Linked DNA regions of Cricetulus griseus. The protein of the gene in region 5 purifies or fractionates together with the protein of the main gene of each other region. This does not show direct contact. Links are inferred from orthologs where the notes say so. Each region holds a gene or a part of one and is shown on either strand. Other genes may lie near its edges.

The links.
Region 1: the proteins of Nfkb2 (region 5) and Nfkbia purify together in Homo sapiens (affinity purification with mass spectrometry; 6 studies listed by BioGRID and IntAct, counting the BioPlex papers as one, with this or other methods). This does not show direct contact. The link is inferred for Cricetulus griseus from reciprocal best matches to the Homo sapiens genes NFKB2 and NFKBIA.
Region 2: the proteins of Nfkb2 (region 5) and Map3k14 purify together in Homo sapiens (affinity purification with mass spectrometry; 6 studies listed by BioGRID and IntAct, with this or other methods). This does not show direct contact. The link is inferred for Cricetulus griseus from reciprocal best matches to the Homo sapiens genes NFKB2 and MAP3K14.
Region 3: the proteins of Nfkb2 (region 5) and Nfkbib purify together in Homo sapiens (affinity purification with mass spectrometry; 4 studies listed by BioGRID and IntAct, counting the BioPlex papers as one, with this or other methods). This does not show direct contact. The link is inferred for Cricetulus griseus from reciprocal best matches to the Homo sapiens genes NFKB2 and NFKBIB.
Region 4: the proteins of Nfkb2 (region 5) and Chuk purify together in Homo sapiens (affinity purification with western blotting; 4 studies listed by BioGRID and IntAct, with this or other methods). This does not show direct contact. The link is inferred for Cricetulus griseus from reciprocal best matches to the Homo sapiens genes NFKB2 and CHUK.
Region 6: the proteins of Nfkb2 (region 5) and Fbxw7 purify together in Homo sapiens (affinity purification with mass spectrometry; 7 studies listed by BioGRID and IntAct, with this or other methods). This does not show direct contact. The link is inferred for Cricetulus griseus from reciprocal best matches to the Homo sapiens genes NFKB2 and FBXW7.

The regions. Positions count from the first base shown.
Region 1 is NC_048598.1:146,913,795-146,917,758, forward strand, and holds the start of Nfkbia (NF-kappa-B inhibitor alpha), read left to right. Parts: upstream 1-1,164; 5' UTR 1,165-1,244; coding exon 1,245-1,471; intron 1,472-2,010; coding exon 2,011-2,119; intron 2,120-2,450; coding exon 2,451-2,661; intron 2,662-2,934; coding exon 2,935-3,023; intron 3,024-3,145; coding exon 3,146-3,406; intron 3,407-3,857; coding exon 3,858-3,905; 3' UTR 3,906-3,964. UniProt on the Homo sapiens protein: Inhibits the activity of dimeric NF-kappa-B/REL complexes by trapping REL (RELA/p65 and NFKB1/p50) dimers in the cytoplasm by masking their nuclear localization signals.
Region 2 is NC_048600.1:114,875,100-114,879,342, reverse strand, and holds the start of Map3k14 (mitogen-activated protein kinase kinase kinase 14), read right to left. Parts: upstream 2,801-4,243; 5' UTR 2,678-2,800; intron 1-2,677.
Region 3 is NC_048602.1:7,108,310-7,111,513, forward strand, and holds the end of Nfkbib (NF-kappa-B inhibitor beta), read left to right. Parts: coding exon 1-287; intron 288-1,370; coding exon 1,371-1,459; intron 1,460-1,542; coding exon 1,543-1,812; intron 1,813-2,537; coding exon 2,538-2,639; 3' UTR 2,640-2,704; downstream 2,705-3,204. Other genes in the region: Ccer2 (coiled-coil domain-containing glutamate-rich protein 2), read right to left, coding at 2,996-3,085. UniProt on the Homo sapiens protein: Inhibits NF-kappa-B by complexing with and trapping it in the cytoplasm.
Region 4 is NC_048596.1:17,455,241-17,458,740, forward strand, and holds part of Chuk (inhibitor of nuclear factor kappa-B kinase subunit alpha), read left to right. Parts: intron 1-1,061; coding exon 1,062-1,151; intron 1,152-1,281; coding exon 1,282-1,406; intron 1,407-1,587; coding exon 1,588-1,695; intron 1,696-2,320; coding exon 2,321-2,456; intron 2,457-3,500.
Region 5 is NC_048596.1:15,285,017-15,287,330, reverse strand, and holds part of Nfkb2 (nuclear factor NF-kappa-B p100 subunit), read left to right. Parts: intron 1-48; coding exon 49-153; intron 154-288; coding exon 289-374; intron 375-462; coding exon 463-601; intron 602-739; coding exon 740-865; intron 866-973; coding exon 974-1,189; intron 1,190-1,269; coding exon 1,270-1,411; intron 1,412-1,746; coding exon 1,747-1,861; intron 1,862-1,960; coding exon 1,961-2,174; intron 2,175-2,311; coding exon 2,312-2,314. UniProt on the Homo sapiens protein: NF-kappa-B is a pleiotropic transcription factor present in almost all cell types and is the endpoint of a series of signal transduction events that are initiated by a vast array of stimuli related to many biological processes such as inflammation, immunity, differentiation, cell growth, tumorigenesis and apoptosis.
Region 6 is NW_023276806.1:69,434,700-69,437,194, reverse strand, and holds the end of Fbxw7 (F-box/WD repeat-containing protein 7), read left to right. Parts: intron 1-62; coding exon 63-331; 3' UTR 332-1,995; downstream 1,996-2,495. UniProt on the Homo sapiens protein: Substrate recognition component of a SCF (SKP1-CUL1-F-box protein) E3 ubiquitin-protein ligase complex which mediates the ubiquitination and subsequent proteasomal degradation of target proteins.

The DNA.
Region 1 (3,964 bases), on a different chromosome or scaffold from region 5:
GAGGGAGTTGACAGATTGCAGGCTCCTAAGTGGAGAAGGGGTGAAAGCAGATATTCTATTTCTGCAGGTAAAACTAGTGCATCACAGGACCAAATCCCTTTCTCTGGGGAGTAGCTACCCACAATGCTGCCTTCCCTGGGGAGCAAGGACCCTGGAAGAGCCAGCAGGGTTCAGATGTGGTCAATGTGAGGACTGCCTTGAGCATCCTACAGGATGCCTTGCAGCTACTTTCTTAGCTATAATTAAGGGCCAGCCTTGGCTAAAGTACTAAGCCAGTTGCTCCGCTAGGCACTCACCATAAACTCAGACTCCATTCTCTGCAGCAAGTGGTAAATCTGACACAAGAACTCAACAGTTACTGTTGCTAGGAAGCTACAACTTCTACTGCAAACACTACTACACCTTGCTCTACTTTTTTTAAAAAAAAAAATGTGGTTTCTATTTAACACTTTTTCCATACATAGCTAGAGTTCGCCCTCCCCCAGGAGACAAGATTATCGAACCCTATTTAATATTCTAGGGGTTCTCCAAGCGCTTGGGTGTTTTTAATGTCAAAGCTTCCCAGCTTCATGGGGTGGGGGTGAGGGACGGCCAAATGTCCCTGCAGTGCCTAGAGCCTGGAATGGGCAAAACACAGACGGCCTAGTGACACTCATGTCTCCTTCCTCGAAGAAATTTATGAGAAGCGAATCCCTGCAGTCAGCCAGCATTTCCACTCGTGGGTTTTCAAAAGATCAAAAACCGGAAAGGACCTGCAAATTGGCAAATCGCTAAGAGGAACCGCCCAGCGGGTCTGCGTCCTTGGGATCTCAACAGCTGAGGACCCCACATCCAATCGACAACGGTGGGAAACCCCAGGGAAAGCAGGGTTCTTGCAGAGGCCTGGGGTTACTGAGTGCAGGCTGCAGGGAAGTACCTAGAGGGAGGGGGCCTGGTCCGGAGGACTTTCCAGCCACTCAGGGCTCATCAAAAAGTTCCCTGTGCATGACCCCAGTGGCTCATCGCAGGGAGTTTCTCCAATGAACCCCGGCCCTGGGTTTAGGCTTCTCAGTCGAGGACGAGCCAGTTCTTTTTCTAGTCTGACTGGCTTGGAAATTCCCCGAGCCTGACCCCGCCCCTGAGAAATCCCCTGCCAGCGTTTATAGGGCGGCGCGGCGGCGCTGGCGAGCCCACAACAGTCGCAACTCGCCGCCCAGCCGCCAGCAGCTTGCAGCTCGCAGCCCCGCACGCAGCCCCGCGCAGCCATGTTTCAGCCAGCCGGCCACGGCCAGGACTGGGCCATGGAGGGCCCGCGGGACGCTCTCAAGAAGGAGCGGCTGGTGGACGATCGCCACGACAGCGGCCTGGACTCCATGAAGGACGAGGAGTACGAGCAGATGGTGAAGGAGCTGCAGGAGATCCGCCTGCAGCCGCAGGAGGCGCCGCTGGCCGCCGAGCCCTGGAAGCAGCAGCTCACGGAGGACGGAGACTCGTAAGTGGCGGCGGGCACGGGCGGCGGGGTCGCGCGCGGGAGGCCTGGGGTGGGGTGCGGTGGGGACCTGCAGCGCGCTCGGGGCTCTGCACGGAGGGAGCACGACGGGGCTCCCGGGGATGGCGAGCGCCCAGGTCGCCTGCCTCCCCATCCCATCCCCCTTCTCCTCCCCTGCCAGGGACCCGGCGTAGCCGAGCGCAGGCCGGGGGCGGGGCGGGGCGGCCGCGGGGACGCCAAGTCCCGGCCTGGCAGTTGTGCGCGCAGCCGCCGGGCGCCGCGCGGCCGCGAGGGGAAGTACAGGGCGTTCCGGGCGGCGGAGGGCGGGCCGGTCTGGCCGGCGCCCGCCCGGAGGGGGTGGGGCACGGAAAGTCCCTGGGCCCCTGCCAGGAACACTCAGCTCATAATAACCTCGCGGAAAACACCGCGGCCGCGGCCTCCAGAAACCCCGGCCTTGCGCAATCCCCCGCAGCCCGCGCCTCTTGGGGGCCCCCACGCAGTGCGCTCACCGCCCCTCGGGGGCTTTCCCTGTCATCCCTCAGGTTCCTGCACTTGGCAATCATCCATGAAGAGAAGACTCTGACCATGGAAGTGATTCGGCAGGTGAAGGGAGACCTGGCCTTCCTCAACTTCCAGAACAACCTGCAGCAGGTGCGCGCTGCCCCAGCCGTGCCCTCTTTGACCTGGTGGTGGAGTTGGATGTTAGCTCAGTCGCCCCCAAAGTGTTTCTAAATTAATAGTCACTGAGCCCTTATCTGCCCTGGCCTTTTACATTCAAATTAGCCAACATCTTAGAGCTTGAAGAAAATCCCAGGGGTTTGGTGAGGTCTTTACGACCCAACTGGGGCTTCATGTTTGCCTGGTCCCCTGTAGCCATCAGGGAGGAGCAGAATTCACAAGGAGTTGTCTGGGGTTCAGGAAACTCAAGACTATGGATTTGCTCCATGACTTATCCCCGTTCTGTTTCCTCTTCCGTTTGTAGACTCCACTTCACTTGGCTGTGATCACCAACCAGCCAGGAATTGCTGAGGCACTTTTGGAAGCTGGCTGTGATCCTGAGCTCCGAGACTTTCGAGGAAATACCCCTCTACATCTTGCCTGTGAGCAGGGCTGCCTGGCCAGTGTAGGAGTCCTGACACAGACGTGCACACCTCAGCATCTCCACTCCATCCTGCAGGCCACCAACTACAATGGTAGGTCTATCAGTCCATCCCAGGACACAGAGAAGGGAGAGGTGGGCCCACTTGAGTCTAGGCTAGAGCCTAAACTCTCAACATAAAACGTTCAGACAATATGGACTTTAAAAAAAATCCCTTCTTGATGTCCTTATAATAATGTTCAGTCAAAACTCAAATTCTGAGTTCTTAAGAATTGAGGATATTTGTGGTTGTCCCATAAGAAAATAGGGCACGAGTTGTGTGACAATTGAAACAAGTAGTTATATTTTTTGTCTCTTATTCCTCTAGGCCACACGTGTCTGCACCTCGCCTCCATCCATGGCTACCTGGGCATCGTGGAGCATTTGGTGTCTTTGGGTGCCGATGTCAATGCCCAGGTGAGTGCAGTTCCCTTCTAGTTGGAGCCAGTCAGGTTCCTCCTGAACTCTTCCAGACTTGTTCTTACTGCAAGTGGATTTCCAGATGTGGCCTTAAACATGTCTGATTGCTTTGGTTTCAGGAGCCCTGCAATGGCCGGACAGCCCTCCACCTGGCAGTGGACCTGCAGAACCCTGAACTGGTGTCGCTCCTGTTGAAGTGTGGTGCTGACGTCAATAGAGTGACCTACCAAGGCTACTCCCCCTATCAGCTCACCTGGGGCCGACCAAGTACCCGGATACAGCAGCAGCTGGGCCAGCTGACCCGGGAAAATCTTCAGATGCTGCCCGAGAGTGAGGATGAGGAGAGCTACGACACAGAGTCAGAATTCACGGAGGATGAGGTGAGTGTTCGTCACTACCAGAATGGTCCATTCTCCCTCACCCCTCTCCCGTCCCTAGAGCAGAACTAGTCTTTATTATAGGGATCTCAACATAATTATTTAACGAAACGCAGCTTGCAAAACCAGTATCCCAAGAACTTGTCTCTCTGATTTGTTTTAACCCTTGGAGGTGAAGGGAGGTTCTGGAGTTTGAACCCAGGCCTTAACACGTGGTAACAGGCATGTGTTCTGCCATTGAACTACACCTCCTGCCGTAGCTTAGATTGTTTTTAAGGGAGAGAATCAATGAAGGAAAACTCCGACAGCATGGGGGATTCATTCTATTTGGGTTAAGGAGGAAAGAGTCCAAGATTGTGAGTTATTTGCAGAAGCAGTCCCCTCCCCTCATCCCAATGTCTTGGCAAAGTTCTAGGAATTTAATATGCCTTTTTTTTTTCCCCTCTTGTTTTAGCTGCCCTATGATGACTGTGTATTTGGAGGCCAACGTCTGACATTATGAGTGGAAAGTGTCAAAAAGAACATGGACTTGTATATTTGTATAAAACAAGAGTTTTATTT
Region 2 (4,243 bases), on a different chromosome or scaffold from region 5:
CAGAACTGCCGGCTACTTTCCTATACTGCCTGCCTTCCACCTGGCCTGCCCGCTCTGCCCCACAGCTACCAGTCCGGCAGTCAGCATCACCGAATGAACGCAGGGTGCTCACACTTCAATGGCTCACCCTACCCGTGAAAACACTCAACCCCATTCCTTTCCCTTATTCGGGATCCTAGTGTGCAGAGGGCTGACTTATCCTTAGAGCTCCCCAAATCCACTCTCCAAACCGCCCCTCTCCACACCCACTTCATGCTGGTGCTATCAAAAGTGTCCAGAGTGCTGAGATACCTCCAGTTTAACTGAAATACTAAAATGGGGCAAACAGGAAGCATCAGACACAACTGCGGTAGTGACTTATTAATCACGAAAGCAGAATTTTAGTTGCATTTTAACCTTTTGCCAGGAAGAAAAAAAGCATTGAGGTGATGGAAGCCAACAGTGGAAATGTCTGCTGCCTGCATGTGTGGCAAGCTGACCTTTCACTTAGACTGAATTTGGTTTTCAGATTCCTTCTTTCTCCCCAGAAAGAACATCTGTCAAGCCACCCAGGATGAACCTGTGAGCTCTTCCCAGAGCAGAAGCAGCTGTTGGGAGAAGTCCATGTGCTGTCCACCCAGACAGGAAAAACAAATAGGAATCCTAAAAGTGACTTCAGAGGCCAAGGCGATAACATAAAATTCTTAAGAGTGGGCAAAATGGCCTAAACAAACAAGCCTGGATTTGAACTTTTAGATACTGTACACCCCTCCAATCTCCTACCAGTCCCTAGCTAGTAATGAACCCTTTCACTCACCGGGGGAGAAAAAAAAAAAAAACTCCTAACAGTTGCCAAGGGCTAGACAACCAATCAGGGTGAGTCCTACCCTCTCTCATACAAACACTTGGAGCAAATCACAAAGGAATCAGTGTTCATCAGGAGAACCAAAATGAGGAACCAAACCTCTATCTGCCGAGGCCGAATGGCAAAACCAGACATTTTTGTTTAATAGATGAAGGTTCATTTGGCAGGGTCTCTATGGTGCCACTCCCACAAACTCTGACACCAGAAGGGGGGAAAAAACCTCAAAACTGCTCCTTCTACCTAGGAACAATCAGAAAATGATCTAAACCCTAGTACCTGTTTAATTTCATAAACTGCTGGTATATATTTCTGGGTATGTACAGCTAGGTAGTTATTTCTAAAATTAAGTCAGACATATTAACTATTATTATGAGATCTTCTGAGAAATTCACCACACTCTTCCAAATAAATCAGGATGTCTTCTTCTCTTTTTCTTTCCGGTGTTCTGAGACAGGATCTTGCTATGAAGCCCTCGATGCCTTCAAAGTCACAGTATTCCTCCTGCCTTAGCCTCCCGAGTGGTGGGATTACAAGGGTGTGCCACCCTGCCTAGCTTTCAAGATGTCTTAAAGGTGTTTGAAAAACTCAGAAAGCTGGCACTGACCCAAAGGAATTGCCTTTGACATCACTTCAGATGCAAGAGATACATCATAAGCAAGTCAAGAACTCCTCAAGCATCCTCTCATGTTAAGAGCAAAAAAAGCTACCCCACATCTTCTCAGACATACACTCACCCTCACCCCACACACCTGGTTCAAGTACTTCACTTATCAATTGAATAATACTTTATCCGTCTTACCACACCTACCACTAAAGGTGAAAGCTACTAAGCAAAACCATGCATCACTAATGTTAGGATCCTCTGATCTTTCAGAAAGACTGTGTTTCTAGCCGCAATGCCAGTGTTCCAAAGTTCACTGCTCATTCACTTTTAGAGTCCTTAATCAATTCATCAAGTTCACTGTCCCCAGTGAACAACAACAACAACAAATTGTCATCAATACACGGATTTTAAAAACTTTTCTTCAATCATCCTCTCCTTTACAACCCATCCTTTAGTGCCGAGAGCCATCTTTTAACCTCAACTGGGGGGGGGGAGACTTTTTCTGAAGTTAATGAACACGGGGGTGGGGGGGGAAGGACTTTTTCTGAAGTTAACACGGAAGAGGCTCCTAAGCAGGTGGGAATCTCTGCCTCCGACAAATGTTTTTTACTTGGTGACAGGTGGCTGCAAGTTGCTAGAGCCACGGTGAGCTTCCAAGATGGGACTAGCACATATAAACACACACCAAAAGTCCCGGGTAGAACACAGAACCACACAGAAAGGTCAGGATCACCGAAGAGGGAGGGTACTGAGGGCGACTAGCACTGCCCTGCTGAGTGCCCAGGGCAGCCTCTGCTCCTTCCCCCAGCACAAGCGACCCCAGGCACTTCACAGTGAATTCAAGGCAGCGCTTTCCTCGGCTAGGGCGGTGGAGCCGTCTCCTTCTCTTGGGGGGCACCTGAGAGCCGGGTCTGCTAGCGGGGCGGCTGAACTCGACGGCGCGGATGTTGGGGAAGGGGAAGAAGGCAGTGCCCTCGCGCGTTTCGGGCGAGCGTGTGACCCGTGGGTACGCGGCCTGGAAGCTCCGGGAGAGCACGGCGCTGCGAGCGTGGCGCTGGTGGCGCGGCGCGTGCGAGCAGCCTAGAACGCAGACACCCGGCCACCCATCCCAGGCAGCCCTCGCGGGGAGCAAGGCGCACCCCGGCCCCGATCTCAGGGGCTCCCCGTCCCCGCCCGCTCGGGCCCTCAGCGCCCCGCTCTAGATCTCCGGGCTCTGCCCAGTCACCTACCGGCTGAGCGCCGTTCTCCTCAACCAAGCGAGTGTGGCGCTTCGCTGGCCAGCGATAGCTCGGGGGCCCAGGCCGCCCCTCCCCGACCACGCCCCCATGTCTAGCCCCGCCCTAGGCCACGCCTCTCCCTGTGGCTGCGACTTTGCGAGCTTCCCGCCTCCTTTCTTTGGCCGCACTGCGACCCTTGATCCCGCCCACTCCCACAAGTAAGCCAATAAGGCGTCTCCTCCAAGTCGGCCTGCCGTCATCTCCCCAGCCGCGATTGGCTAGTGCGGCCTTTCCCAAAATGGATACTGCTTCCGGCCAGGGTTTCTAGAGGCGAGGGCTGGCTGGACGGGCGGGCAGTAGGCGGAGGAGGCCAGGGTGTTGGTGGAACCACACATGCGCTTTCGGCTTCTGGCAAATCTTTTTTACGGGTTGCATTCTTTTTGAGGTTACGGGAAGGAAGGGCGACTGTACGCATGCGTGGGCATTCCCAGCTTCGGCTTGGGTTACCTTGGAGATGGCGAGGCGCTTTCCCTCCAAGGTCTTGGATTCCACTTCCTTTCTGCTTGAGGGAGTGGCTGCTTCGTGGGGTCCTGGAGGGGCTAGAAACACTTTGTGGAGCACTTGGTGTGTGCCTGGTGCTGTGAAGTGTCTGGAGACGAGGTTACTGTGCGTGGGGAGCCTGAGGCCCACGTAGGACAGGCCTAGTGTTGAAACGCAGACGGCTTGGTACAACCTCTTTCCACCCCAGGAGAAGCTGCGCAGTGTGAGTGCTGGGCACAGGCTCCATCCTAGACTACAGCGCCAGAAAGACCTGGTCTTTGAAAACATGGTGTCTACAGTGCCCTTTTGATGGGGCCGAGAGGGAGTGTAGGGAATGTATAGATTTTTTCCCCCTTTTCTAACTTTGCTAATGAGCTTTCTACTGAACAGCAAGCCTCTATTTAGTGGTAATAAGAAGTCACTTTTTTTTTTTTTTTTTTTTTTAGAGTGTCCAGAATGAAAGATGTGTTGTGACCGTAGGGACTCTGCTGGGAATCTTAGCTGCAGCTGCAGGGACTGGATGTCGGGTGGGAGTGGGCAGCCCCATCCGAGTCTGGCTTGAAAAATAAGGAGACTCCTGTCTGGAAAGGTTTGAGCCAGAGCCAGGCCACTGTCTGCTTGTGACCGCTTTGCAGACCTAGCTTCCCTCTGGAGATGTGTCCAAGCAGACAGCTGTTGTTGGACACCAGGAAAGGCCATTCATTCATTGTGGGAATGCCACAATCTGGCCGGCATTCAGGAGGCTGAGACAGGAGGATGACAGGTTTGAGGCCTATCTGGGCTGCATAACCAGGTTTCTGTATGAAAACAAAATAAACAGCCTACAAACCGAGAGGCTCACCCACCCACCCCTGGGCTAGAAGCGTGTGAGTGCAAAGCTTGAAGTTGCTCATAGTTCTAGCCCATGCTGTCTTATGCTTGACCATGACAAGTGTTGTCCCTAGGAGCATTTCTGGCTGTGACTTCCATAGAACGTATACTTGAGAGTCAAGACAGTCTCTGGCACATATCTTGGCTTTGCCAGTGACCAGCTGAGAG
Region 3 (3,204 bases), on a different chromosome or scaffold from region 5:
GAAGTTGTATGCAGCTGGCGCCGGAGTGTTGGTGGCTGAGCGAGGGGGCCACACCGCTCTGCACTTGGCCTGCCGGGTGAGGGCACACACGTGCGCATGCGCGCTGCTCCAGCCCCGCCCCAGACGCCCAAGGGATGTCTCAGATACCTACCTCACTCAGAGCCAGGACAATACCACAGACACCGGCCCCACCCCTGTTGCTGTGAACCCTCAACCCAACCCAGAGATCGAAGAGGATCCGAGTGATGAAGACTGGAAGCTGCAGCTAGAAGCTGAAAACTATGAGGGTGAGGGCCCTGGGCCCTGGGAAGGACGAGAGCCCCTGGCCAGAGTCAGGGAAACAAACCACCTGCTCTTCTTACCCAACTTGAAACACAGCCGCTGGCATAGAGCCCTGGGTTTGATTCCCAGCATAACCTAGCATGGTGGTGCCCTTGGGAAGTGAAAGCAAGAGGATCAGGAGTTCAAGGTTGTCTTTGGTGCTTTGTAGTTTGAAGCCAATCTAGGTTCAGGAGACCCTGTCCCATCTCAGGGTATGGCCGTGTGCAGCTGTGATCCCAGCACTTGGGTGACAAAAGCCAGGAGCAGAAACATCATGAGATCATGTTAGATGCATAGTGAGCCCCTGTTTCAAAAAGAACCCCAAAGCAAAATCATCCCTAGGCTCCAGGAATCCCAGCACTGGGACTAAGGACCTCCACTCAGCCTGGGAGTGTGAAGAATTGGACAGACAGGGCTTCTCTTTCCCAGATCTGGTCATCAAACTACTTGCAGCCCAGACCTGCCACCCACAGAGCCAGAAATGCCAGGATACAGTGGTTGAGCCTAGGCTACCCATCTGCAAGGTGCCTTTGTTCCAGAACTGTTCCCAAGTATAAGCCACTAGCCCAGCCTGTCCAGGATGGGAGGACCCATCTCATGCTCCGAGCCATGGGCAGATGGTGCAGAGCTTACCCTCCTCAGTCAGGCCTCCTGGGAAAAGAACTAAGGTCATCTGGTAGCCAGTGTCCCAGGTCTTTTGTGCAACTCCTTTTGTTATTGTGCTTTGTTTTGTTTTGTTTTATTTATGATGCTGGGGATGGAATTTAAGAGCTGTTCATGCTCGTCAAGCCCCTGTTCTTTGTGAAGGAAGACCAAAGACTTGATCCTGTTGGTCCACAGACTATGTGCCCAGACTCATCCCTTGTAGATCCCAGATACTGTACCACTCAGGCTTACACCCACCAGCATGCTGACACCCAAGACTTAGGCATCTGGAATTCGGGAGCCAGCCCCCAAACCTGGTATCTTTAGCTCACGTGGCCTTTCCCTAGGGTTGTGACAGAGCTGAGGCGCCTTAGTTTATCTGACACTGGTTGCTCTGTCCCCAGGCCACACCCCACTCCATGTAGCTGTCATCCACAAAGATGCAGAGATGGTCCGGCTGCTCAGGGATGCTGGAGCTGACCTCAATAAACCGGTGAGCCACTGTGGTGGGCCAGTGTGTGAAGGCACCCTCCCGTCTTTGGTTGGTCTCCCTGACTGATCTGGCATATCCCACAGGAGCCCACGTGTGGCCGGACCCCTCTGCACCTGGCGGTAGAAGCCCAGGCAGCCAACGTACTGGAGCTTCTTCTGAAGGCTGGTGCTGACCCTACCGCCCGCATGTATGGGGGCCGCACCCCACTTGGCAGTGCTCTGCTCCGGCCCAATCCCATCCTTGCCCGCCTCCTCCGTGCACATGGAGCCCCTGAACCTGAGGATGAGGATGATAAGCTCGGCCCTTGCAGCAGCAGCAGCAGCGATAGTGACAGTGACGGCAGAGATGAGGGCGTGAGTGAGGAGTGGGCGTCCCCACGGGAGGGGTCAGGGCAAACCGTGGCGGATGCTCCCAGGGACTTAGACAAGGGACACGTGAGATGAGGAGAAACTTATAGACTTGGGCAAGGGTGGCGGTGGTGGCTGAAGAGCTAAGGCAATCTGTCCTGGTGGCACACACCATTAGTCTTGAATCTCAGTATTCAGGAGGCAGAGGCAGGTGGATGTCTGTGAGTTTAAGGCCAAAGAACAAAGACGAGCCAAGTTAGACTTCCTCCAGAGGTGGTCACGAACACAGGTAGGGAGGGTCTGAGCATCGGAGGTGACTTTGGGAGCAGGATTGCCGAACTTAGGCTGTAGGTAGGTGACCTTGGTCAGAGTGGCCAGAACACTGATGGTAGAGAAAGACCTCAGGCAGCGGTGCAGGGAGCATTACTGAAGAACCCAGACAACGGCACACCCCTGTGTAGGGGTTGGTATAGCATGAAGAGGGTTGAGGGTGGGTGAAGGCAGAGGGGAGACGGGAGAGAGCCACTGTAAGGCTGGACCACAGGGGTAATGGGGGAAGGTGGTCTTGAGAACCAGGACCTCCAGCGTGAGAGGAGGTGCACTGAGTGGGAACCATATCGGAGGGGCAAGGGGACACAGGCGTCAGAGGGAGACCCCATTAAGTGCCGTGCCCTGGGCAGTGGGCAAGGTGGCAGCTACCTGACCCCTGTGTTATCCCTCTCTGTCCCCAGGATGAATATGACGACATTGTGGTCCACAGTGGCAGGAGCCAAAACTGGCTACCTCCCTCCCCGGCACCCAAACCTCTTCCTGATGACTCCAACCCCGCCTGACTTAATTTCTAATATTAATATAATTTCCATTTAATAAAGCTTCAGACCTGAAGCCAGAGCCCAGACTGATAGTGCCTTCCTGCTTATTTCAGGTCCCATTCCTCCAAAGCTGTGTGAGCCGTGGGGTTTGCTTTGTGCTTTATTCACTCAGAGGGATGGAGGGGTGGGGTGGGGTAGGGTGGGGTGGGGTGGGGTCCTGAGTCGTCTGAACTCCACCCCTGCCCCATTCAGACTTCTCTCGGCCTTGGTTCCCAGGTGCACTCTTGCTTCCCAGTCCCTGCCAGATGGAATGGGGGCTCTGAGGTCAACAGCCCTGGGCCTTAGGGAGTATAGGAAAGGAGAAGAGTGGAGTGGGGTCAGCCTTCCCTCGCAAGTGCCTCCCCCAGCATGGCGGTGGCCTTCTTTAGCTGCTCCTCCATGTGCTCTAGCCGGTCCACACCGTCTTCCTGGGGGAGATCAGAAACATGGTTACCACCTTGGTGGCCACTGTGACTCCAACCTGCTGCTTCATACACTGGTGGCTTGAAGTCCCTTCCTAGCTGTCCGTCATGGTCAGTGATGGCTA
Region 4 (3,500 bases), about 2.2 Mb from region 5:
TTACCTGACATCTATAATCCCAGCAATGGCAGGAGGGTTGCTGTAATTTGATACCATCTTGGGTTACAGTGGAGACCTAGTCTCAAAAATTAACAACAACAATAAAAAGATTAACAAAATAGATTAACACCAGCTAGTTAAATAGCGATCAGGCTATCAGAGTTCACACTTTTGTGTTGTTTACAGCTCAGATTCTTTACCATCTCCTCTCCAGTGTTATAAAAACACTATTGTCTTCTTAAAATTACATTTATTTATTTATTTTGCATGTATGAGTGCATCTCTGTGCTGTGACCTGTGTGCAGGTCATGGGACAACTTGGCAGGGGTTGTTCTTCTGTTTAAGTTTAAAAATTAGAAAGGGCTGGAGATGGAACTTACATGATGGAACACGAACGATAGAGTACATTAACCAGTTTATTGCAGGGCGGGAGAGCGAGAGGGGAGAGACAGGGTGAGAGAGAGGAGACAGAAGAGAAAGAGATAGTGTAAGAGAAGAGAGGGAAAGGAAGGTAAGAGCAAGAGAAGAGTAGAGAGTAAGAGAGAAAGGGAAGAATAAGAGAGAAGAATTAATGGTCAACCACCGGAAACAGAGAGAGAGAGAGATCAAGGGAGAGAGCAAGCAAAGAGAGAGAAAAAGAATATGGAGGTACAAACTTAAAAGGGGAGGCTTGCACATGCGTGCTGAGTCCTTACACAGCCCATAATGCCTGACATGGCCGTGCAACACAGGACCCTTTTGAGCTGTTTAAGTATCTGCCTGAATGCCGATATCCGTGTCCCACCCATTGTCAGGGGGCAGAGTCAGCATACAACAGGGGTTGATTCTTCTTCTCGTATGTGGATCCTGGGGATCAAATTTAGGTCATCAGGCTTGGTGACAGATACCTTTATCAGCTGAGCCATTTCAATGGCCTATCTTTTTGTTTTTTGCTGTGCTTAGGATTGAACCGACCCTATACATGCAATGGGAGTAATTTGTTACTAAGCTACACTCCCAATCTACCTTTCTTTTGCAAATCTTTCAACAATTTAATATATGTTATGTCTTAATATTCACAGATAATGCATAAAATAATTGATTTGGGTTATGCCAAAGATGTTGATCAAGGAAGTCTCTGTACATCTTTTGTGGGAACATTACAGTATTTGGTGAGACATTTCTTTAATTTGATTACTTAAAATTCTCATTGTTTTTTCTTAAGGCAATGAATATAGTGGTTCAAAACAATAGTAGCTCTTTTCTTACAGTGTTGGAACTTAAAGTACTTTCTATTTTAAGGCCCCAGAGCTCTTTGAAAATAAGCCGTACACAGCCACTGTGGATTATTGGAGCTTTGGGACCATGGTGTTTGAATGTATTGCCGGATATAGGCCTTTTTTGCATCATCTGCAGCCATTTACCTGGTAAGAAATGATGAGAACTTTGGCATAATCAATAGTAATAGAAAAATTTCAGTTGTTTCCTTTTCTCTTTCTATAGTGGTGAAATTGTCTTTTAACACAGAATTGAATGAAATTCAATGCAAGAGACCTTCAGAGTATTTGTGAGAATCACGTTGTCAACTAAGGTATCTTGGTTTTATAGGCATGAGAAGATTAAGAAGAAAGATCCAAAGTGTATATTTGCATGTGAAGAGATGACCGGAGAAGTTCGGTTTAGTAGCCATTTACCTCAACCAAACAACCTTTGTAGGTAAGTGTGGGAGGTCACGCACTTTTGAGAATAGTTATGTGTTTCAAAGTAGCATTATCCAGTAGTCCCTCCCATGAGGATGAAAGCATTGTCTTCTGTCACAAGAGGCTTATTGAGCATGTGAAAAGTAGTAAGGGGTGGAGATACGGCTCAGTGGGACAGTGTTTGCTTAGCCTGCTTGCTGGCTTTGCTGCTCAGCACTGCCTAGGTTGGCAGAGGAGTATGGTTAGTGTGACTGAGGAACTGAATTTTAAATGAGTAGTAATTATAAAAAACACCGTGATTAGTGATTATCCTATGGGATAACACAGACATTGTTGAACTGATAACTATTACCAATCAATGGATTGCCTTAGATGCTAAGAAAGCCCAAGGAATAAAGAAGTAAATGGCTTTTTTGAAGATTGGAGTTGGACTCTTCTTTTGGATTTGCCAGTTACAAAGTGATATGGGGATTTAGAGTTGGTTTTATTTGGGGGGGGCTTGTTTATTTTCATTCATGAATTATTTGAAAGTAAGATATAAATGGTACTGTTAAGTCATAGGCAAGGAAATGGATGACCTGTGATGTTGCCTGTTTAATTGGAACATAATGATATTCACACAGTTTTTGTTCATTTTTCAGTTTAATAGTAGAGCCCATGGAAAGCTGGCTACAATTGATGCTGAATTGGGACCCACAGCAGAGAGGGGGGCCTATTGATCTTACTTTGAAGCAGCCAAGATGTTTTGTATTAATGGATCATATTCTCAACTTAAAGGTCAGTTTTAATGGGGTGCATTTTAGAATACCTGCATTGACCTTAGCAAGTTGAAAATGAGTATAAATTTATATTAGTGATCTTTTCCTGGTATCCATTTTAAAAATGAATATTATATACTTAGAGTGGATCCTTTATTTCTTTAGCCAGGATTTCAGGTGTCTTCAGATGGTCTGAGGAGCCTTTTAAAGTGTCTTTTGGGATTTCCTTTTAGGACATTGATTGGTGTCATTACCCCTTCCCTCATTTAGATTTAATTGTACTGGTTTTGGCTTGGTGAGGAAGGCTCCCACTTGCCTCATGTCTGTATACTTTGCTGCTGAAAGACCAGCTTCCAATAGGTCAGAGAAACTGGAAAGGAGGTTGGTGTCAGCAGAGCTGTACACACACAGGAGTCTTTTTTCTAAGGGCCAAAGTTTAATTCTTCTTTTCAGTTCTCTCTCTGCTGTTGTTTCTACTCTGTTCTTTTTCTGTTCTGTTCGTTTACCCTGATGTTTTCCTTCTACATCTTTCCTGGTGTTTTTCTTCTACTATTCTTATTTTTCTCTTAATCCCTTCTATACATCCTAAGACAAAAAATTCTATGCAAGAGATTACCTCACCACCACAAGTTACATATTTTCCAAAAACAAATTAAAATCTTTACATAGGAAGAAATTACATTATGTTCATAAGTTGCATGTTTTTCTTAGACATTTTTATTTGTGTTAATTTGTATATTTGTGTTAATTTTTCCACCATAACATCTTCACCCCAAACCAATTATTCTTTTATAATTGATGAACTAAGTTTTTTCAGCCAGTTCTTTTTGTACTGGCAGGCAGCTGTTAGCAGTTTCAGTGCAGTAGATTTCTAACCTATTTCCACTCTACCAAACTTAATCTAGTAGTCTAGGTAACCATCTGTTTTCTTTACACATAGGAGGATCATTTAATTCCCTTTTATACCTTTTTTTCCCCAAGGTGCATACCAGGGCCTTGATTAATTCTGTAAGAAACGTGACCAAGGAACTCAGGCCTAAGCTTGGGTGTTTTTATAAGAACA
Region 5 (2,314 bases):
AGATATGACCACAAAGCCAACGTGGCCCTAACCTATCTCCCATCCTAGAGTCTCCAGGGGCCTCAAACCTGAAGATTTCCCGAATGGACAAAACAGCAGGTTCTGTGCGTGGTGGTGATGAAGTTTATTTGCTTTGTGATAAGGTGCAGAAAGGTGAGGCAGGAGGCCTGAGAATTAAAAACACTGGTTGTTGGGGGGGCGGGGCGGGGCGAGGGACGGGGCAACTTCAGAATGAATGCACTGGACCTGCAGATTCTCCCTATGGCTAAGCTTCACTTTTCTCGGTAGATGACATTGAGGTTCGGTTCTATGAGGATGACGAGAATGGGTGGCAAGCCTTTGGGGACTTCTCTCCTACAGACGTTCATAAACAGGTACTGAGGGGCCAGGGCTTGACCTGGAGGCAGACCCAGGCAGAGATCTCACTGACACCAAAGGTCTGTCTCCCACCCTCCACCCCAGTATGCCATTGTGTTCCGGACACCGCCGTATCACAAGATGAAGATAGAGAGACCTGTGACGGTGTTCCTGCAGCTGAAACGCAAGCGTGGGGGGGACGTCTCCGACTCCAAACAGTTCACCTATTACCCTCTGGTGGAAGGTGGGGCCGGGCTTCAGGTTCCCAGGGGCTGGAGGGAGCATGGTGGCCTCGTTGGCGCCCTGGAGGTGGCTGCAGGTTGCCGGGCTTGAAGACTACCGGTGTATTGGATTTTAACTCCCAGTTTCTTGTTCCCGCTAGACAAGGAGGAAGTGCAGCGGAAGCGGAGGAAGGCCTTGCCCACCTTCTCCCAACCCTTCGGGGGCGGATCCCACATGGGTGGGGGTTCTGGGGGCTCTGCTGGGGGTTATGGAGGCGCTGGAGGAGGTGAGCGGGCCCAGTGGCCGGGAGAGGGGTGGCGGAGGTGAGGGGAAGTTAGAAGAGAAGTCTGGGAGAGTCCTGGCTGGCACCTCACAGCCTTGCCCATGCCCACAGGTGGCAGCCTCGGCTTTTTCCCCTCCTTGACCTACAGCCCCTACCAGTCCGGCGCGGCCCCAATGGGCTGCTACCAGGGTGGCGGGGGCGGAGCGCAGATGGCCGGCTCAGGGCGGGGCGTGGATGCCGGGGAGGTGGCCAAAGATCCGAAAGATCCGAGCGCGGCCCCCGAGGTCCCCCAGGGCGAGCCGCCGGCCCTAGACGCGCTGCAGCGAGGTAGGTCTGAGGAACGCTGGCAGGCGGGCGCGCGCCGGGCTGGGGACCTGGCCCGCACCCACGCGCCCTGTCGCCTCCAGCTCGCGAGTACAACGCGCGCCTGTTCGGTCTGGCGCAGCGCAGCGCCCGAGCGTTGCTGGACTACGGCGTCACCGCCGACGCGCGCGCTCTGCTGGCGGGACAGCGCCACCTGCTGACGGCCCAGGATGAGAACGGAGACACGTAAGCGGCCCGAGGGCCAGCAGCCTAGGGACATCCAGGGGGTCACCTGGTACCACCAGGTCTAAAGGTTGGGGCAGTAGAGAAAACGGCAAAGAGCCGAACCCTAGAGTCAGACAGATCTGGTCCTCGTTATTTTCTAGTTGTGTTCAAGAAATTTGCTCTCCCCAACCTTCAATTTTGTTAGCTGTGAAAGGGGCACAGTAGCAAGGTGTGACAAAGGATAAAGATGGTAACATCCAGGGTCACCAGTGAAGGTGACCATGAAGGTTTTGAGGGCAGATGATGCTTTGGGTGGCTTTGGTTTCCCAGTCAAGGTCTCCCTCTCCAACCCCCAGGCCACTGCACCTGGCCATTATCCATGGGCAGACTGGAGTCATTGAGCAGATAGCCCATGTCATCTGTCATGCCCAGTACCTTGGGGTCATCAACCTCACTAACCACCTGCACCAGGTATGGGAAGCCTCTGGGAAGGGGCGAGGGGTAGTGGTTGAAGACAGGGAATCCTAAGCTGTGGTGGGCTTGGCTCGCTCTGCCTTCCTCCCTCCCCAGACACCTCTGCACCTAGCAGTAATCACTGGGCAGACAAGGGTGGTGAGCTTCCTGCTGCAGGTGGGTGCAGACCCCACACTGCTGGATCGACATGGAGACTCGGCTGTGCACCTGGCTCTGCGGGCAGGTGCTGAAGCCCTAGGCCTGTTGCAGGTGCTGTTGCATAGTGGGGCCCATGCTGTGCCCCAAATATTGCACATGCCTGATTTTGCAGGTAAGTTTCCCACCTCCTCCAGTCCTGAGACAAGAAGGGTATATGATTAGTAGACTTCAGTAGGGTTACCTGGTCATGGTTTGTTCAGAGGCCACCTTGGGGGTCACAGCCACAGGTTGAGTGTGCTGTATCTCTAGGAC
Region 6 (2,495 bases), on a different chromosome or scaffold from region 5:
CTGTGCACAAGCCCCTGACCACCGTTTCTAACTAGTAATTAAGTCCCTGTGCTTTTGCCTAGGTCCCAACAAGCATCAGAGTGCTGTGACCTGTTTACAGTTCAACAAGAACTTTGTAATTACCAGCTCAGATGATGGAACTGTAAAACTCTGGGACTTGAAAACGGGTGAATTTATTCGAAACCTAGTAACATTGGAGAGTGGGGGAAGCGGGGGAGTTGTGTGGCGGATCAGAGCCTCTAACACCAAGCTGGTATGTGCAGTTGGGAGTAGGAATGGCACTGAAGAAACCAAGCTGTTGGTGCTGGACTTCGATGTGGACATGAAATGAAGAGCAAACAAGATGAATTTTGTCCAACTGTGTAGACAATATACTCCCTGCCCCCCCTGCGCAAAAATAAAAATTGAAAAGGAAAAAAAAAAAAACAGAAAAGAAAAAAAAAACAGAAAAAAAAGAGAAAAAAAGAAAAGGAAAAAAATCCCTTGTACTCAGTGGTGCAGGATGTTGGCTTGGGGCAACAGATTGAAAAGACCTACAGACTAAGAAGGTAAGAAGGATCAAAGAAGAGACAAGAAACCGCAACTGACAGGAGGCGGCAGCTGTCGCATCACCTAAAGGCTTCACTTCTGACTGAGGGGCAGCTTTGCAAAAGGAGACTTTCTAAATCCAACCAGGTGCAATTATTTTTTATTTTCTTCTCCAGTGGTCATTGGGCAGAGCTACACCAAGATGTTGTGACCGTCACCTAGAAAGGAGTGGCAATAATATCCAAACATGTGCTGATTGATCTTCTAATCAGAGAGCATCTGCAACAAAAAGTCATTTTTCTGAAGTGGAAAAGCTTAAAGAAATTACTGTGAATTATTTTTGTACAGTTATCATGAAGCTTTCTTTTTTTTTTTTTTCTTTTTCTTTTTTTTTTTTTTTTTTTTTTTGCCAACCATTGCCAATGTCAATCAATCACAGTATTAGCCTCTGTTAATCTATTTACTGTTGCTTCCATATACACTCTTCAATGCATACATTGCTCAAAGGTGGCAAGTTGTCCTGGGTTCTGTGAGTCCTGAGATGGATTTAATTCTTGATGCTGGTGCTAGAAGTAGGTCTTCAAAAATGGGATCGTTGTCCCACCCCTGTACTGTACTCCCAGTGGCCAAACTTATTTATGCTGCTAAATGAAAGAAAGAAAAAGCAAATTATTTTTTTTTATTTTTTTTCTGCTGTGACGTTTTAGTCCCAGACTGAATTCCAAATTTGCTCTAGTTTGGTTACAGAAAAAAAGACTTTTGCCACTGAAACTTGAGCCATCTGTGCCTCTAAGAGGCTGAGAATGGAAAAGTTTCAGATAATAAAGAGTGAAGTTTGCCTGCAAATAAGAATCGAGAGTGTGTGCAAAGCTTATTTTCTTTTATCTGGGCAAAAATTAAAACACATTCCTTGGGACAGAGCCTGAGGTGCCTGTTCTGTGGAGAAACTTCTTTTTGAGGGCTGTGGTGAATGGATGAACGTATATAGTAAAACTGACAAGATATTTTAAAGATATATATAAAATACAGAATAAAAGGAAGTTGCTGGTCAGTCGTAGCATCTTACAGTATTTGGGAAAACAACTGTTACAGTTTCATTGCTCTGAGTAACTGACGTGAGAGGAGCATCGCTCTGTAGTGACGGTGTCACCCGCAAACCAGCGCGATGAACGGGAGTCAGATGGTCCGCCTCATTCACCAGGAGCCGTAACTCAAGCTGAACTGTGAAAGTGGTTAACACTGTATCCTAGTCAGTCTTTTTTTTTCCTCCTCCTGTTTATTTTTTTGTTTGTTTTATTTATAGTCTGATTTAAAACAATCAGATTCAAGTTGGTTAATTTTAGTTATGTAACAACCTGACATGATGGAGGAAAACAACCTTTAAAGGGATTGTGTCTATGGTTTGATTCACTTAGAAATTTTATTTTCTTATAACTTAAGTGCAATAAAATGTGTTTTTTCATGTTATTATGCCTGTTTCTTTCACTTGGATAATACTGTTTCATTATAGAGTGTTTGTGTCTAATGTTTTAAATAATTGGGTTTTGGTTTCTTAGCATTCCCTTCATTGTAACATAGAAATCAGTGCTACCAAGCTCAACCAAGGGCGAGGTACTGTGGATGTCACCTGCAGTGGCAAGGATGCCACTGCACTGTACTTACTTTCATCTTTGCATTCGGTCTATAAACATGGCGTCTGGTACCTTCAGCACCTCAAAGGTGGGCCTGAGAGCTACAGCTCAAGCTGGTTAGGTTGTGCCCCAGAATAACCAGTGTAATGACAGTATCCAACCCCTGTTTTCAAAAACCAAAATTCTCATGCTGCCTTTGATGAAATTCTAGCAAACTAAAACAAGGTTTTGGGAGGGAAAGTGTATGTATGTATGTCCATGTTTGTGTCTGTCCGCCCTTACATTCTTATTTTGCCATTACAGAGTCTGGAAAGACATATATCTCTAATAATCTCA